3 linked regions of the Ovis aries genome follow. The main gene of each other region encodes a partner of the protein of the gene in region 3 in a complex. Links are inferred from orthologs where the notes say so. Each region holds a gene or a part of one and is shown on either strand. Other genes may lie near its edges. The genes, in order: MAGI2, WWC1 and DDN.

Region 1 (4,135 bases), on a different chromosome or scaffold from region 3:
TCTTCTCAGACAGCTAGAATCCTACCCGCTCAATGCTTTTCATGCTTTGCTTTAAAGAGACGAGTGGGTGTGCAACTTTTTTTTTTTTAAGTATCATTTGAAAGTAAAGCAAATGGAACTCATTTATCAGTTACAGGAATTTTAAAAATCACTCCTAACATCTCACACAAAATTAGCCTTTGAGTAAAAATCAGCGGCCCTCCTGCATCCTGGCGCCCCGGACGTCACCTCACCTCCCGGCTGCAAACTTGCTGAAGGTAAAGAAGCCTGGTGGCGGACCAGCGAGCTGAGTTTCAGCCCCGGTTCTGTCGCTCTGGTCGCCCTCCGAACCTTCTCCTTTAGTGTAGCAGGAGGTGGTCTCCTCAGGGCAGCTTAGGGTTTCCCCTCTTCCCAGCCCGGCTGTGAGGGCGCGCGCGACGAGGGCGTGCCCCGCGGTCTCGCCGCAGATCCCGCGTGAAACTGCCCAGTTCTCTGAGGAGGCTGCTCACCGCGGCTGCCCCCACCCCACTGCTTCCCGCTTCTTCCAACTTGGAAAAGTGAAGCCCCTGCCCCGCGGTGCCTGGAATGCCTTTCACCAGACAACCCTCCGCTAAGTTCCCTTCTGCACCCGAGGTACGGGCGCTGACAGGAAAACCAGCCTGCAGTTCTAACTTTACTCTCCTCTGAGAGGAATTCTGAGAACTTTGAGACGGGTCTGACTGAAACGTGGGAGACGAAGCCTGTCTAATTAGTGAACTCCGACGCCTCCACCTGGCCCGCAGCGCCCAGGCCTCCTCCTGGGCGAGGGCACGCCGGGCGGGTCCCACAGCTCTGCCCTTTCTCATGCCGGGATCGGACGCCCGGAGGCTCGCGGCGCCACCAGCCACAGCGTCCGGCACTGAGTCAGGGCATCCTCACAGCGCAGCAGCCTAGCGCTGCGTTCGGCCGCCGGGAGGCTGAAGAAAGGTCCGCGCTGGGCTCGCAGCCCTTCCTGCCGGCCTCCCCACGCCGGGCCTCGGCTCCCCTCCTTTCCCGCTCCCGCCTCCTCTCGTAGGCTGCCAGGCGGACCCAGCCTGCCTCTCTCTCAGCCTTCACTACCGGGTCAAGCTGCGGAGGGGGGTGGGGGGGTGAGCGGAGACAGCAGTAAGCGGCTCCCCACCCGGCGCGCGCGCGCCCCTCCTCCCCGCTCTAGTCCGCTCCCTCCTCAGCGGCGCTAAGCCTCCTCCCCTGCTGCCAGTACAGTACAAGTCGGCCGCGCGCGCGAGGGCGCGAGCGCGCGCGGACCCTGCCACTGCCACTGCAGCTACCATGGATATCAGCTAACAACACACACTCAGGCGCGCGCGCGCTCCCACTCGCACCACGCAGGAGTGGCCCCCGGCATCCCTACTCTCCTTCCCCACCCCCACTCCACCCGCTCACCAGCTCGGCTACTGCTCGCTCAGGCTGCCGCTGCCGCCGCCGCCGCCGCCACCACCACAGCTCTCCTCTGCTGCGGGGCCACAGCCTTGAGTGTCATTCAAGGGACAGCACAACCTCACCCAAGCTCTCCTACCTCTGCCCAGCCGTCCCTGTCATCCTCCCCCTTCCTCGACCACACTCCATCCAAAGAAGAGGGAAAGCACCGAACAGAGAGGGGAGGAAGGCAAAGTCTGCTCTCCTCACCTCTTGGCCCCCTGGCTCCTCCAGCCTCATTCTCTCAGCACCAACTCCCCTACCCCAAAGGAATCCCTCAGGAGCTGAGGCGACTCACCCCACTGCCATGTCCAAAAGCTTGAAAAAGAAAAGCCACTGGACGAGCAAAGTCCATGAGAGTGTCATTGGCAGGAACCCGGAGGGTCAGCTGGGTTTTGAACTGAAGGGGGGCGCCGAGAATGGACAGTTCCCCTACCTGGGAGAGGTGAAGCCGGGCAAGGTGGCCTATGAGAGCGGAAGCAAGTTGGTGTCTGAGGAACTGCTGTTGGAAGTGAACGAGACCCCCGTGGCGGGGCTCACCATCAGGGACGTGCTGGCCGTGATCAAACACTGCAAGGACCCCCTCCGGCTCAAGTGTGTCAAGCAAGGTAAGCGCAGCGGCTGGCTCGGTGCTTTACCAGGAGGCTGGACCGCTCCAGACGCCGGGGCATCATGGAAGGGTGGGCTCGCGTGTGGAAGGGGGTGTGTTGCGCGACAGTGGGGTGAGGTCGATCGAGAACCGGCAGAGCAAGTGAGCTTTGCCGGGGCTCAGAATGGGGGGCTCAGTGGGAGGGAGGGGCGGTTGCGGTGCAGCGTGCAACTTTGTTTGCGCAGTTACCACCTCCCGTTTGGTAGGTGTTCGGCCTTGTCTGACCTCGGCGGTGCCGGCGAGCTCCCAGGGCAATTGAATGTGCGTCAGCCGCATGGCCCGCAATGGATGAAGAGCTTTTAGGGAAGGAAAGAAGGCAGAAACGAAAAAGGAGGGCAGGAGAGAGAGGAAGGAACAACTCGAGGGTGCAGCGGCATCACCAGCAGGGCCGGTAGGAGTAGGGGGTGACGGGGCAAACGGAGACCGGCGCCCTCCGTTTCGGTAGCTGTACTGAAGACACCTTGGGGATCCCTGAGCCACTAATTGACAAAGAAGGGAAGGGGCAGGTTGCTTCGGGCGCGTTGACGGGTCTGCCTTAACTTTTTCCCTGCCTCGCTCCTCTGTCCCCCTCCCCCGCCCACGGTCGTGTCATGTGGGCACCGCGCGTCACGTGCGCACTGACTAACTCGGGAGCTCACCCCGAGCCGGCCCGCGGGAGGCGGCTCGCGAGGAAGGCGCGGCGCTAGCTGCGGGTTCTAGAGTTGGAGGTCGGAGGAGAGACGTGGTTACCGGAATGTTCTTTACTATGGGGTTGTCTTCATGAGTGGAAGTTCTCTATGGTCGGACTCCCCTCTGGCTTCGGATTTGGGCAGGGGCAGGGGCGGGAGGCGTGTTTCTAAGGAGGAACTGGATGAAAAAGCCTTCTGGTTTCGACTGAGGATCCGGTCAGCTCCAACCTGGTTTAGATGAGCCTCCGCTGAAGGCTGTGATGGGATCCTGCAGAGTTCTCGCAACTGTCTTTGCCTATAGGAAAATGCTGGTCCTGAAGTAGAGAAGAGAGATAAAAGTTTCTTGGAAAGAGGACAACTTTAGCTGGAATAAAATAGTGTATCTTCATTTTCCACATCATAAGTTTTGTAGCTCATATTCATAATTCTGTGTGACATGTATGTATATGCGTCACAAATCGAAAGATTTGTTGTTGGTGACACATTGTTCGGATTCAAAGATGGAATTGAGCATGTCATTGCCTGCATGACAATATCTCTTAGGGAGATATTCTTGTCTATAAACCAGTTTTAAAAGTAAGTCAGTGAAAAATGAAACCTCAGGCAAAATTTCTTAAATGTAAACTGCCATACAAAAAAGTTTTAATTGGGGATTCTTGAGTGTTAGTGACTGATGACTTGAGATAGGCTAATGTGAACATTGACTTCTTTGTCAGGCCACAGAGTTAAATACGGTATGAACCTGAAGAATGTGTTTGGTAGGAAGGCAAATAGAATATCTTACTGTTTTCCAAGATGACATACCAGAGGCTCGAATATAGGCATTAATGTTAGCGTATTTGATGTCATGATACTATTTTATAGTAATAGATATAAATGTGAAGTTCTGGTTTTGAATCCAGAAGTCTATGTCACAATTAATGACCATGGTTTTATTGACAACAAGGTTGGTATTTGTAGTGGAAAATGGCTGCCAACTTTAAGATATTGTTATTAATAAATTGGACTAATGATTGTAGCCTAATGAGGGAAGTGTTTATCCCACTGTAGTTTGTAATTATGACCACATTTTAATGTACTCATTCTGAGCACACTATTTTGAGATGAACCTTCACAGGCTGTTGCTCTAGCAGCTAGAAAAGAAAGAAAGGGAGATTTTGGGGGTATTGTCAATCTATTCTATAAAATCCAGTGGAAAGACTTTAACTTGGAAAAGTGAAGGCATGAAAGCTATCATTAAATACTATCCTATGATTATGTATAGGGCAAAAATAAGACAAATCTGTGGAAATTTTTAAAGGATGAAGCATTTTACTTTTATTAAGATGATTTTAACAGAGCTTTAAAAAAATCTGTTAACTATACTGTGAACTCATTAGCTCCC
Region 2 (4,272 bases), on a different chromosome or scaffold from region 3:
TTCCCTTGCCTGGAAAATTCCATGGACGGAGGAGCCTGGTAGGCTGTAGTCCATGGGGCTGCAAAGAGTCGGACACGACTCAATGACCTCATGCATGCACAAACACATTGCCCTCATCACTAATGGGAGTATTTTGCACCCAGCGAAGTTGAGGAGTGAGTTGTAGAGGGCTGTGGGAATCTCCCCATAAGAAGCAGTAGGGTGAACTCCTACTTCTAGGTATTCTGAGGCCAGCCTGAGGTCTGTGTTTCTGGACTTTTGTGCATGGCATCTATGGAATGAGGGAGGGAGGGAAAGGTCAAATACTGAGTCAATGGGCCTGGCTTTAGGGAAGTAACTGGCTTAACAGAAGGCATCTGGAGGTGAGGAGATGCCACCATAAGTCTTCTGTACCAAGAGCAGAGGAGACCAGAAACATGGGATTCTCCCCTATGCTCAGCACACTCTGGCCCATACAGCACAGGACACTGGCTCCTCTGGGAGGCTGTGGGACTCAGACAAAGGATACAGCAGGCTGGGCTTCATCCCTGCAGTCCAGCTCCCTGCTATACATCCAGGGCAAAAAAAAAAAAAAAAGTTAAAGACATTCAGGAGACACAGACAGCTGATTAACTGTAATTAAATAATCACAAATTTTTGATTTCTCAAGAAATATTGATTTTTAAAAGTTCTCATTTTTTAAACATGGAATTTTGCTTTGTTTGCTTCCTTCTTTTTCATAACCCCTATCCCCCCAAAGCCATGACAGATCAATTAATATCTCGAAGAGGACAGGTGAAGCTGCCTGGAACAGGTTACATATTCAATTTAATGAACAACAACATCATAACTATTACAAAGGGCCACCTCGACACCCACTGGAGGTCCTTGGGGGCTGAGGGCAGGAGATGGATGCCTAGCACTCTTCACTTTAGGGACCCGGGGAAGAGCCAGTTACACTTGCAAGTACGAGGGGTGGGGGGATGGGTGAAACAACGCGCGGAAAGAATAGAATAAGAGGGAGACAGATGGTGTGTGTGTTGGGGGAAGGGATCAGAGATCCTGGAAAACTTATGTTCCCCTATTTGCAAGAATGTTTCCATTTAACCACTTCTTGCCTGACTCCTGATTCTACAAGAGAGAAGCCGGGAGTTATAAGATTGGGGACACCTGTGCCAAGAACTCGGCCGCTCTGGGTGGAGACAGCCTGGAGCGCCGGGAAGCCGAGGCAGAGCGGGGCTTGCTCGCGCCTCCCGGGGCTCCAGCCTGGGTCCGGGACCCAGGTGAAGGGCGGGCTCCCATTCCTCCCGGCAGGAGCCGCGAAGGGGCGGCCGGCAGTTGGGACTGTCCCACGAGGGGGCGCGTCTCGGGCCCTAGGACCCGCCCTCGCGGCGCTGGGCGCGGGGAGGGGACGCGGGAACCCTGGCGCCCGGCGCTCCGCCTCCAGTTTCCGGGGCAGCGCGGTTACCTGCACAGCCCGAGCCGCACCTGGCGCAGGCAGGAGTCGCAAACCAAGCGAGCGCTGAACGGCGGAGGGAGAGCGGGGACAGCACCCGGCTCGGGGGAGCGAGAGGCGGCGGCGGCGGCGGTGTGGAGGCTGCAGGGCGCCGCGCGCCGCGGAGGAGGACAGGCGGCAGCTGCGCTCGGCTCGCTCTGCCCCGCCGGCCGGGCGCGCACCCGGGCCCGCACCGCGCCGCTGCGGGCGCACATGGCAGCGTGAGAGGCCGGCGGCCGGAGGAGCGGGAGGCGCCGGGCCGGGGCCGCAGGGCCGCATGGACAGCGCCGCCACCCCGGCCGGCCCTCACTAGGGGCCCCCAGCCCGCGGGCGCCACCTTCCCTCCCCACCACCGCGACCATGGTGCCTCGGCGGCCGCCCGAGCCGAGAGAAACCGGCCGGAGCCGCTGAGCCGGGGGGCCCCCGTGGCGGCCGGGAGCTGCATGGGGGAGCGCGGGCCGCGCTCGAGACGATGCCCCGGCCGGAGCTGCCCCTGCCGGAGGGCTGGGAGGAGGCGCGCGACTTCGACGGCAAGGTCTACTACATAGACCACACGAGCCGCACCACCAGCTGGATCGACCCGCGGGACAGGTAGGATTCCGCGTGCACCCTCATCCCGCTCCTGCCCCGGGGGCCACAAGCCGGGACGGGGCGGCGACCCTGGGAGCTCTGCGGGCCTCTTGCGCTGTCTTCCGTGTGCCCCCCACCCCCGTGCCCTTCCGGACCGCCGGCTCCCGCCGGGCGGGCAGCTGGGAGGAGGGGTCGGCCGGTGAGTTGGCCCAGGCTACCCCCTCACCCCGCGCTGTCCTCTGAGGGGGACTCAGCCCCCCGTCGGCACCTGCCGGGAGTTTTGACCTTAAGCTCTAGCCCCGCCTCCCGCCGCTCCCCTCCCCCTTAGTTAGGTCCTGCGGGGGCTGGGGGAGCGATCTAGCCGAGTGATGCTGGGGCTTCCCGGGGAGGCTTTCCCCAGCGGGGGGGGGGGGGAGGGGGGATGGGAAAGCATCTGGTTTGGAGGGGATGGTAGGCACCCAGGACTCAGCGGGAGGCTGCTGGAGGAAGGACACTGTGTCCCGGGGAAGGCAGCCCAGGGTGTGAATTTTGACAGGTGCCTCCCAGGCTCGGAGAGACGGGCGCAGCAGCGTTCTGGAGGCCGGGAGGCCGACAGTGGGAAGGAGAGGAAGGAGCGGGGGAGGGCTGATCGGGGAGACTGGTTCCCCAGGAATCTCACGGCAACTTGGAAGCTGTTAGGATGTAGATGGAGGTGAGAGGCCGCCGCAAAGCCCTGCCCATCGCCTCTTCTCCTCCCCGCCATCCTCTCCTCTGGGGACGGGGGTTCCTCAGTGCTGCACCAGCGCGTCCTGACCTTGGTGGGCACCACGCCGGTTGGAGCACCGGATTTTTTTTTTTTTTTTTTTTTTTTTTGCTGAGGCAGGTGGCGTGTGAGATGGCTGGTGTGGCTCTTAAGCATCCAGACTTTCTCCTGGTTTTGGCTGCTTGGCAATTTTTTTGCACACAGCACCCTCTCTCCATGAATATCCTGGGGGGTGGGGAGGGGGAAGGACCACCCTCTGGGACCGCTGGTTGTCCTTTGCTGTCATCTCTGTGGTCAGTGTCCCAGGAATGCGGAGTTTTCACCTGGTAATTGTGACCTTGGGTGTCAGGTGCTTGTAAAGCAATGAAGCTAAATTGTTTGGCTGGGGTGGGAATGGAGGTTCCAGAAGTCTAGGATGGGGTGTGTAATCAAGATGAGAGTTGAGAAAAAGAAAAAGCAAGAAAGAAAATGTGAGCTGAGATTGCTCATAGTTTCTGTGAGCACTTTGATTCATTCATTCAACATGGACTGGGTGTCCTCTCTGAGTTCAGTACTATGCTGAACGTCTCATCAATTTAATCCGAAAGAGACATTTTTAATGCTGAAGAGCTCAGGTCCCACGGGCAAGCTGCTTTAACTTCTGAGCCTCAGTTTGCCTGTTTGTCAGACAAATGATTTGCTTGGAAGGGCAAGGGTGATAGTGGAACTCTTGAAAGTGGAAGGGATATGGAAGGTCAGGGCCCAGCTCCCATTTTCAAACATGAGACAAACTTTGAGATCCGGAGGTAGGATGTGCTTGGGGATTTTGATCTTCTCACCACTCTACCTTTTGCCAAATTCTCTGCCTGCTCTGAAGTTCTAGCCTCCACAGTCCCTTGTCCTCGCCTAAAACAGACACAAGTTCAAGTTTGTGTGTCCTCCCCCATTTTAGGTCCCAGCAGCTACGGGGCCCAGTGTGCTGTCAGCAGTTGAGTGTAGAGGGCATTGCTAACTCACCCCAGATCCTGAATCTGGGAACTTCTCTGGGGCACTGAGAGGATAACACAGCTGCAGAAATCTGCTTAAGGAGCGGTCATTCATTACCCTTGGAAGAGGGCAAGCAGTATAGCTTCCATGGAAAACTGACTTGGCTACGGCATAATTTCCCGAATTTCAGTATTATGTAGACCACCTTTTTTGCTGTATCACCTGTGTTATTGCTGACTTAATACTTGACACTGAATCAACCCAATCTGAATTTTTTTTAGCCACTTTTGCAAATGGGAAACTAGCAATATCTATTGCTCCAAAGAGAAAGGAACCTTTAAAAAGTACAGTGGAAGGGGGGAAAAGGTGCCTTTCTGTTTGAACTCACTCCTGTGGCCAGTCCACGGCTCCAGCAACAGGCCTCCGCAGCCTGTGTTTTTAGGCAGATTGGCAAGCAATGGAGAGGAATTAAAAAGATAACTGGCGCTTAAGGAACTGCTCACTTTCTCCGCCTTGCTGT
Region 3 (2,297 bases):
ATAGTCGCCGCGCCCCTCCTCGACAGCTCATGGACTTCCAGGCCAGCCACTGGGTCTGCGGGCCCCAGAGCCGCACGTGAGTGAAGGAGGGGTAAGGGGAAGAGAGAGGTGGGGCAGGGATTGGGGTCCGGACCTTCCCGTGGGCACCAGCCAGAGCTGCCTTCTCTTTTCCACGCCTCCCCCAACCCCATCCGGAAGGTTGGGGTCTGACTCATCCCATTTGTTTGGGGGCACAGGAGTGGGCGTGAGAAAGGGCAGGTGAGATGGGGCAGATACTGTTAAAGTGTGCATGGAGAGATGGTGAGGAGTCCCGCTTCGACTTCAACCCTAACATATACGCACGTGCACACGCGCACACACTCACACACACCCCTCCACCCGGTGGCCCCAAGTGGCCTCCAGCGCTCCCAGCTCCCCGGACCTCGGCTCCCTTCCCCCACAAACTGCTCACCTGGGTTCCTGCTCATTGTCCCAGGTGTGGGCCGCGCCCGGGATCCCCTGAGCCGCCGCCCCGCCGGCCCTGGGCCTCCAGGGTGCTGCAGGAGGCGACCAACTGGCGGGCGGGGCCCCCGGCCGAGGCCCGAGCCCGGGAGCAAGAGAAAAGGAAAGCGGCGTCGCAGGAGCGGGAGGCCAAGGAGACCGAGCGAAAAAGGCGCAAGGCTGGTGGGGCCCGAAGGAGTCCCCCTGGTCGGCCCCGCCCGGAGCCTCGGAACGCCCTTCGGGTGGCCCACTCTGCAGGGCTCCCAGCTCCCTCAAGGCCCGAGCGCCTGGGGTCGGTGGGGCGACCGCCCCGTCCATCCGCGCAGCCGCAGAGCAATCCTGGGGCGGCGTGGGCGGGGCCCTGGGCTGGTCGGCGGCCAGGGCCCCCCAGCTACGAGGCTCACCTGCTGCTGAGAGGCGCTGCCGGGATGGCCCCGCGACGCCGCTGGGACCGGCCGCCACCCTACGTGGCTCCACCTTCTTACGAGGGCCCCCACAGGACCCTGGGGACTAAGCGAGGCCCCGAGCCCTCGCAGGCGCGCGCCTGTTCAACCTCTGCGCCGACTAGGACAGAGGGAGGGTGCGCAAAGAAGAGGCTAGATCCTCGGATCTACCGGGACGTCCTAGGGGCCTGGGGTCTCCGTCAGGGACGGGGTCTCTTGGGGGGATCCCCAGGCTGTGGAACAGACAGGCCAAGGCTGGAGTCCGGTAAGGGGGCCGCGGAGAAAAGCCCGAGGCTGGCTGCTGCTGTCCTGAAGAGTGGTAGCGACGGCCATCCCCAAGATAAAGCCGCTGGGAGCCCAGGCACCGTTCCTGCGGGGTCTGCCACTGCCACCCCCAGCCCCCCGCGTCCCACTCCCAGGTCCAGACCCCATCTCAAGGGCTCCGGGGAAGGGAGGGAAGGGAGAGACCAGACCTGGCTCCCCAAACGCTGGGTTCCCTCCATTAAAAAGCAGCCGCCCCGGCATAGCCAGACCCTTCCCAGACCCTGGGCTCCAGGAGGCACGGGATGGAGAGAGCCCCTGGGTCACAGAGGGGAGGCAGGACCCGAGACCTTGGAGGGTTGGAAGGTGACCCGACGCCCCCACACCCTGCCCCGAAGTTCCCGTGGCCCCACTCGTCGGGAAGGCGTCTTTGTCATTGATGCCACTTGCGTGGTGATACGCTCCCAGTACGTCCCGACCCCTCGAACCCAGCATGTGCAGCTTTTGCCCGCCGGGGTGCCGCGCCTGGTGGGGAATGCCCCCAGCCAACCGAAACCCAATAAAGAGGAGGGAGAGGGGGCCGCGGTCCTTCCTTCCCCTTGCCGAAAGCTGCCATTGAGCAGTCGCCCTTCTCTCCAACCCAGTGAGGGACGCGGGCTCGAAGCTGAGGGCGGGAAGCCCGCGGACTCCTCACTGGAGGAGCGCGCCTCGCGCATCTTGGGGCTCCCGGTTGGCGAAGTAAACCTACGGGATCCCCCCACGCAGCCAGGTAGCCCAGAGCACTCAGCCTTAGGCCCACCGGCTTCGGGGGGAGCGCGCGGTGCCGAGGGATCGGAGAAAGTGGCGTCCGGCCCGCGGCGCACAGGCCGGGGCTGGGCGCGAGCCCCTGGACCCTATGCCGGGGCCCTGCGGGAAGCCGTGTCTCGCATCCGCCGCCACACCGCCCCGGACTCCGACTCAGACGAAGCTGCGGAGCTCAGCGTCCATAGCAGCTCTTCTGATGCGAGCGACACAGAAGCCTCGGGCGCCTCCTGGCGGAAAGAGCGGACCGGGCCCCCGGAAGGCGGGAAGACAGCCGAGCTGACCGGCAATGCCCGAGAGATTGTAGGTGCC

The links.
Region 1: the proteins of DDN (region 3) and MAGI2 are in contact, whole or in part, in a crystal structure (PDB 6KKG), measured with the Mus musculus proteins. The link is inferred for Ovis aries from reciprocal best matches to the Homo sapiens genes DDN and MAGI2. Residues at the interface, in NP_001013763.1 of Mus musculus: Asp222, Arg223, Pro224, Pro225, Pro226, Tyr227, Val228, Ala229, Pro230, Pro231, Ser232, Tyr233, His237, Arg238, Thr239, Leu240, Gly241; in NP_001164217.1 of Mus musculus: Glu308, Met309, Ala310, Tyr311, Thr312, Glu313, Gly315, Tyr318, Ile320, Asp321, His322, Lys325, Thr326, Thr327, Ser328, Trp329, Asp358, Tyr361, Tyr364, Val366, Asp367, His368, Arg371, Arg372, Thr373, Gln374, Phe375.
Region 2: the proteins of DDN (region 3) and WWC1 are in contact, whole or in part, in a crystal structure (PDB 6J69), measured with the Mus musculus proteins. The link is inferred for Ovis aries from reciprocal best matches to the Homo sapiens genes DDN and WWC1. Residues at the interface, in NP_001013763.1 of Mus musculus: Tyr227, Val228, Ala229, Pro230, Pro231, Ser232, Tyr233, His237, Arg238, Thr239; in NP_740749.1 of Mus musculus: Glu13, Glu14, Ala15, Arg16, Asp17, Tyr23, Ile25, Asp26, His27, Arg30, Thr31, Thr32, Ser33, Trp34.

What each region holds. Positions count from the first base shown.
Region 1 is NC_056057.1:43,278,036-43,282,170, forward strand, and holds the start of MAGI2 (membrane-associated guanylate kinase, WW and PDZ domain-containing protein 2), read left to right. Parts: upstream 1-1,269; 5' UTR 1,270-1,741; coding exon 1,742-2,042; intron 2,043-4,135. UniProt on the Homo sapiens protein: Seems to act as a scaffold molecule at synaptic junctions by assembling neurotransmitter receptors and cell adhesion proteins. Plays a role in nerve growth factor (NGF)-induced recruitment of RAPGEF2 to late endosomes and neurite outgrowth.
Region 2 is NC_056058.1:77,912,234-77,916,505, forward strand, and holds the start of WWC1 (protein KIBRA), read left to right. Parts: upstream 1-1,424; 5' UTR 1,425-1,946; coding exon 1,947-2,065; intron 2,066-4,272. UniProt on the Homo sapiens protein: Regulator of the Hippo signaling pathway, also known as the Salvador-Warts-Hippo (SWH) pathway.
Region 3 is NC_056056.1:137,226,865-137,229,161, forward strand, and holds part of DDN (dendrin), read left to right. Parts: coding exon of another isoform or gene 1-4; coding exon 5-76; intron 77-475; coding exon 476-2,297. UniProt on the Homo sapiens protein: Promotes apoptosis of kidney glomerular podocytes. Podocytes are highly specialized cells essential to the ultrafiltration of blood, resulting in the extraction of urine and the retention of protein.